Linked DNA regions of Caenorhabditis elegans. Changing the gene in region 1 together with any one later gene gives a genetic interaction. Each region holds a gene or a part of one and is shown in the gene's direction. Other genes may lie near its edges. The genes, in order: F53B6.5 and act-1.

Evidence for each region.
Region 2: of F53B6.5 (region 1) and act-1, changing one enhances a phenotype caused by changing the other (phenotypic enhancement), as found in Caenorhabditis elegans (one study listed by BioGRID).

The regions. Positions count from the first base shown.
Region 1 is NC_003279.8:8,948,769-8,951,774, forward strand, and holds F53B6.5 (Peptidase_M24 domain-containing protein), read left to right. Parts: upstream 1-1,679; coding exon 1,680-2,130; intron 2,131-2,187; coding exon 2,188-2,285; downstream 2,286-3,006. Other genes in the region: F53B6.7 (O-fucosyltransferase family protein), read left to right, coding at 51-108, 184-297; F53B6.13 (Elf-1_N domain-containing protein), read right to left, coding at 799-913, 2,859-2,902.
Region 2 is NC_003283.11:11,078,839-11,083,017, forward strand, and holds act-1 (Actin-1), read left to right. Parts: upstream 1-2,213; 5' UTR 2,214-2,234; coding exon 2,235-2,424; intron 2,425-2,472; coding exon 2,473-3,253; intron 3,254-3,305; coding exon 3,306-3,465; 3' UTR 3,466-3,577; downstream 3,578-4,179. UniProt on the Caenorhabditis elegans protein: Actins are highly conserved proteins that are involved in various types of cell motility and are ubiquitously expressed in all eukaryotic cells.

The DNA.
Region 1 (3,006 bases):
AACTTTAAAATCAGTTTCAATTTTTTTTAACGACAAACTTACGTCGAAAAATGAGCAGCGCTCCTCTGAAGTCAACTGCTGAGTCAGGAAATAGAAGAGATAGTACTAGTAAGTCTGCTTGTCATCGCGTTCAACAGTTTCTCCTTTTACATGAATCTTCATAACATTTGTCATTAATTTCAGGTTCTATTGGCGCATCAACATACAGTTCTGAAGAAAAACCAAATGCGGGAGAAAAATTCTTGACAGAACTTGCTCACATTGATCAGCCTGGTCGAGAACTCACTATTGTTGCAAGTGAGATATTAATAAATTTGTTTTTAAAAAAATTTGCCGCCAGCAGGGGCCGAACCTGCGACCTTGGGCTTATACACAGGTGATTCGCGGCTCATGCGTGGCGCGTCTCACACGCTTCGCTCACGCGTCTGAGAGGACCAAGCGAAGACGCGCGTCACGCATGCGTCAGGCGCGCGTAGCGAAAGCAAGCATGCTTCACGCGTGCGTTGCGAAAAAAGCGTGCCCCACGCGTGCATTGCGAAAGGAAGCATGCTTCACGCGTGCGTTGCGAACGGGCATGAGTACGGTAGAAATGGGTCCAAATGTAGCGGCCGGAAAGACATGAAGCATTTTTGGCTCATGAAAGCCCCAGAACAAATAATTTTGGTTGATTGTAGCAGAATTCGTAACAAAAATAACTTCATCTGAACAACAAACAAAAAAAGCAGTAATAAAAGAAATTAATAAGAAAAGTAACAAACCAATAATTAGTTGCAATATTAATTAATCAACAAAAACAGCTCATGATGAAGCTGGGGCTCCAGACGTTCCCTCGCCGCCAGTCTTCTCCGTCAAATCCCCCATGTTTTCCAAATCAGCCGAGCCTTCTGGACTTTCGACGAAAATGAGCTCATCCCTGAAATGGAATTGGTATTCAATTTTATCACGAACTATTTTCAAATGTTTATATTATTTTGCTTTTTCACTATTTCAACTTTTCAAATTTTAAAATGAAGAAAATTCTAAATTCGATGTTATGAAAATTATATTTTTTATATTACTGTATGAATTCCACGGAAAAATTCATCAGCACACATCAATTCTTCAATTTCCTTCAAATTCAAGTTCAATTTTTTCTGTGAGCAATATTTAATATATTTTTTACTTTTTATCAAATTTCCCAGTCGACTTGTCACATTTGTCTTCTAGACTTAAAGATTTAAAGGTAACGGTCGACAATTGTACGTGACACCGACAAACTATTGCGGACCGCGCGAAAAATCGTGCCAACTCATTTCTTTGCAAAATCATTCATTTTGAGCATATTTTCTCGTCATTATGATTTTAATTTTGCGAGTTGGACAGAATTTCTTTCACTAATATACAGTTTATATTTTTTTTCACGCTGATAAATTTGTTTGGCTCCCTTTGTCCACTATATATCGATAAACACGAAGATATAGTGGTAATTTTGGGATAAAATCATTTATTCGTGTGAAATTAAACGCCCAGTAACATCATTTCTCAAGTTTCTTTGTCTTCTCTGTCTTATCTTTTTATCAACTTCGTTTTCACTTTCACTCAGAGATTTTTTTTTTAAAGATTCTTCTCTGGTACTTCAGCGATCGCAGAGTGAAGGGAGGACGATGTGGGATTTTGCGGTTTGTGAAGCTCAAGAACTGATGATTCTCTCCGATCAAAACTTTTTACAGACCCAATGGAAAGAGCCACAGACGGCACAATCAAAGAATACGGAATCGAAATGCGAATTCCATGGAAACTCGAATGAGGTGAAGCCGATTGGCAGTCTCAACGGACAGTCGATCGCTCAATGCCGTATTCACACTGAAAAGACGGTTCCAATTGTGAAGGGCGGTGAACAGGCGAGGATGGAGGAGAACGAGATCTACGCGATTGAGACGTTCGGATCTACGGGAAAAGGATATTTTCATGATGATATGGAAACATCGCATTATATGAAGAATTTTGAGCTCGCCGACGAGAAAATTCCACTTCGCTTGCAAAAATCGAAGGGTCTTCTCAACTTGATCGACAAGAATTTCGCCACGCTGGCTTTCTGCCGTTGTTGGATTGATCGGCTTGGAGAGACCAAGTACTTGATGGCTCTCAAAGGTAAGTGTTCCTACTCTACTGCTTCTAGATTGATGCTAATATTAACTCTATTTACAGACCGCTGGATGGCTATGGTTGGAGCTTGTATACTACAAAGCTTTGCGGGAAAAATTATCGGCAAACGTGCAAACCTGCTTCTCAATTTGATAATTTAACATTTCTGAGCTAAAGTTGAAATAGAAATGAAAAAAAGTTCGTTCCATCTGGAAATTATATTTATTTTTCTGAAAAATCTAAGAAAAATCTCAAGTATTGCCGGAAAGTTACCGTTTTCCGGTTTTTCCGGCACTATTTTTCAAAAATGTCACCGAAAATAAATAATTTCCCGTTGGAACGAACTTTTTCTACATTTTTATATCAAATTCAGTTCTGAAAAGTTGAATTTTTTTTTGAAAAGCAGATTTGTAATTTTGTAGAAACATTTTGTCGCAAAGCCATGTAGTATACTCGTCGAAAGTTTCATAGCAGTTGAAATATGAGCGGTTAGTGGAAATGAAAGGTACTAGCGGTCCTCTCCGATCAAAATTTTCAGATCCATCTGGAGAGACGGCCTCGAGTTAGGTAGAACAAGTTAATCGAAACGAGATGGATTTGGAAGCGGAAATTTCGATGGATTTGGAAACGGAAATTTCGATGGATACGTTGGAAATAAAATCAAGAATGAAAGATAATATCTTTCTTGCAGGTATTTTTTCTTTTAAATTTTGAAAAAATATTGTAAAACTCACGGGAAAAAAATATCACTGTGTTCCTTCGCTAGCTCCTCCTTCATCCATCTTGTCTTCACTCGAATCGAATCTTCCCCGTGTGTGAGTTTGACTCCTGACGAATTTCTCAAAAAGTTCAGCAAAATTCAGGATGCGTTTCGAGGCCAAG
Region 2 (4,179 bases), on another chromosome or scaffold:
TGTTGAAACGTTTGTTGGATCTGGTATCTCATCTCCGTTTTCGGATAACTACGGGCGGGTCAAACAGAAAGTGGCGAGAAGGTATCGGTGAACGGCGTTAATCTCGTCAAAATTAATATAGAGATCGCTAGGAATGTGGAAAATGCCATTCCTTCTTTGGAGATATAGAAAATAAAAGGGCGGCGCATTTCAACATGCGCTTGGTTCTCAGAAATTGCATGAGTCATCGCAAATATTTCGAAATTCCTTCATATGCGCAACGAAAAATTGTGAACATTTCACAATTTTCTAATTTTTAAATCTTCAAAATTCTAACATTAATTTCTAGGGCTTTCCAAGGATATATTCTTGAGAAGAAAATAGCTTCGAAAAGGATAGACAAAACCGGTCAATGTATGTTTCAATGAATGGTTTGACTTAAGCTCTTCTAACCAGCAATTGCTGTGCGGGCAGCGCAATACCAGAACCAACCCAATATGCGCTAATCGTTATACACGCCTCATTTTCTTTCTGTCACGAGGAAATCGTTAAAAAAGCAAACCTTCAGAAAAGTCGAAAGGCTTATGGTTTCTTCAAGTGAAAAGGTATCTAGACTACGATTCCTCCAGTATTTATATGTGTCATCTAATTTCCCTTGCACCTTCCCACGCAAAAATTCTTCACTAGCGTTCCAATTACTGATTGGGTCCGCAGACTTTTTTGCCATTTTCGATCCCCTATGCTGTGATGTTTGTAAACTCTTCGAAAGTATTTCTATCTCATCGAATATACCAAGAAAATCCTGCATGAGTTTCTTGCCTGCCCCCCCCCCCCCCCCACTGGTTTTTTTTCTGCTCCTCAATATCAGTTGGTACTCTCCCGATGATTTCTGAACATCTTTCCGCCCTCACAAGTGCTTGCACACATAGACCAATATCAATGAAGATTAAAAAAAAATAAATTAATTTCAAAATGTGGAAAGAAAATATTAAATAGCCTTAAAAGATGTATAGCATATGTCTGCTCAGTGTATGTTCCATCACACATGTTCGCATTAGTGCACAACGGGGTGATTTACAAGCTCTGCCTTCAATTAATAAGTATATTTTTCATTCTATTGAATTTGAAGAATTGTGAGCATGTAAGATGAATTCATTTATTGGAAACAAATATGCACTATTTTTAGATTCCGATTAATACAGTGAATACGGACCATCATATATAACTTATTATTTATTTATTCAAATACGTTAGATTCAACATGAATTAAAACATATTGTAGTTTTGTTAAAATATCCGTTTAAATTTAAAAAAAACAGTTTTATGCCAAATATAAAATACAGTCGTCTTTAATCGCATTCTACAGAAGCTATTGAAATTCCAGTAAATTGTTATTGGCTTTAATTTACCTGTGCATTATTTAGGTCATACCATTTTTACGTATTCATTAAATTTACTCATCTTTACCTGTTCGCCCATCATCTTTCTAAAAGTTATTGTTGTTTTCGTAAACCTCCCACCCTTCTCGTCATAGACAAAAAACGTTGCCACATATTTCTTCTCACCTCCTCTCTCGTGGACTCCTCGCCTTCGCAATCGGTCCGATCACTGAGAGATCGTGAGGAAATGAAGAGAAAAGGGAGGGATAAGATAGCTAGAGGGCGTTGTGGGCTCTGGCCAATACGAAGAACTTGGCAAGAGGGATGCTCCCGTGGAAAGAGGGAGTTTATGGGTGGAGTCTTCTCCCGCGGGTGTCTGGATCCTCTCTATTTCTCATAGTCACTAATTCGTTGTGTAGTCGGTGAATCCAATACGCAGAATTGTCTTTCATGGCACAGTATAAAAGCAACGGTGCCCAGTTTTACAGAGCTCACTCATCTCCACGCTTTCTTTCAATTTCTTTTATTTACTCTTCGCTATTTTGCAATAAGTTTTGAACACTTTTTTCAAATACAGCATTTTGATAAGCGAACAGATAACACCAGAGATAAGACTATCACTGAAGTTTCGAAAGTATTCCTTCCTCCATTAATGCCTCACACCATAGATAAGAATTTTTAAAATAAAAATCGTGTTCATGACTCACCCAATGTATTAGTCACGCCTTATTTGATTTTGTTTTTACCACCGCCCACCTGATGAATTGTCCCACTATATATATAATATATATTCTGCTCAATACTATCACCGTTTCCCCACGTGTTCTGTGTTATATTATCAATTTAATTTTTCAGGTACATTAAAAACTAATCAAAATGTGTGACGACGAGGTTGCCGCTCTTGTTGTAGACAATGGATCCGGAATGTGCAAGGCCGGATTCGCCGGAGACGACGCTCCACGCGCCGTGTTCCCATCCATTGTCGGAAGACCACGTCATCAAGGAGTCATGGTCGGTATGGGACAGAAGGACTCGTACGTCGGAGACGAGGCCCAATCCAAGAGAGGTAAATAATTAATACATTCGATGATTAAATTTATGCGTACTATTTCAGGTATCCTTACCCTCAAGTACCCAATTGAGCACGGTATCGTCACCAACTGGGATGATATGGAGAAGATCTGGCATCACACCTTCTACAATGAGCTTCGTGTTGCCCCAGAAGAGCACCCAGTCCTCCTCACTGAAGCCCCACTCAATCCAAAGGCTAACCGTGAAAAGATGACCCAAATCATGTTCGAGACCTTCAACACCCCAGCCATGTATGTCGCCATCCAAGCTGTCCTCTCCCTCTACGCTTCCGGACGTACCACCGGAGTCGTCCTCGACTCTGGAGATGGTGTCACCCACACCGTCCCAATCTACGAAGGATATGCCCTCCCACACGCCATCCTCCGTCTTGACTTGGCTGGACGTGATCTTACTGATTACCTCATGAAGATCCTTACCGAGCGTGGTTACTCTTTCACCACCACCGCTGAGCGTGAAATCGTCCGTGACATCAAGGAGAAGCTCTGCTACGTCGCCCTCGACTTCGAGCAAGAAATGGCCACCGCCGCTTCTTCCTCTTCCCTCGAGAAGTCCTACGAACTTCCTGACGGACAAGTCATCACCGTCGGAAACGAACGTTTCCGTTGCCCAGAGGCTATGTTCCAGCCATCCTTCTTGGGTATGGAGTCCGCCGGAATCCACGAGACTTCTTACAACTCCATCATGAAGTGCGACATTGATATCCGTAAGGACTTGTACGCCAACACTGTTCTTTCCGGAGGAACCACCATGTACCCAGGAATTGCTGATCGTATGCAGAAGGAAATCACCGCTCTTGCCCCATCGTAAGTTTTCTATTTTTGTTTCAGTTAACAAATTAAATTGATTTTTTTTCAGAACCATGAAGATCAAGATCATCGCCCCACCAGAGCGCAAGTACTCCGTCTGGATCGGAGGATCTATCCTCGCTTCCCTCTCCACCTTCCAACAGATGTGGATCTCCAAGCAAGAATACGACGAGTCCGGCCCATCCATCGTTCACCGCAAGTGCTTCTAAATGCACAACTTCGTCAACTTGCACAAACAAGTTCAAAACCATCGTCACCACCAGCTTTCTATTTCTTGTTTGCATATTTTTGTGCAACAAGGAAACATCATGCATATTTCCCAAAAAAATAAAAAACCGCCCCATTTTTGTCCTTATTGTCCTTTCACTCATTTGCGGGTGTGAATAAAAATTTAAAAATTGATATTTCTAAATTGTCTATCAGCACCATTAACAGATTCTTGAAGCACTCGCCGCCAAAAAATGTTACTGTTTGAGAAATACGTTGAAGACAGTTGCGACATGAGAGATATTTGAGTGGGCGCAGAGCGATTCCGAGAATCGCAACGTTCGTGAAGATACTGCTCGTCTCTCGAGAAAGAAAGCACACATTCCATAGTTTCTTCTTATTCCCACGGCGGCGAAAGCATCTGTTTACACAACATGCGGAGGCAAAAACGACGAGAAGCGTCGAACTGATAGGAAGAAAACAGAAAATCTTTGAACAGGAAGGGAAGTGTAGGCGGTTGTATGATAACTTCCGTACGGATAATAGTTTTAAATGTAAACAATGTTAATTAAGAACACAAACTTCTCCATTGATTCAACTCTGCGAGAAAAACGCAAACTTGTTTAAGTTTTAAGTTTTATATGTACAATAAATTAATTCTTTAATTTTTTATTTTGGAAAAAAGTTAACTGAATTCAATTATTTTTTAAAAACAT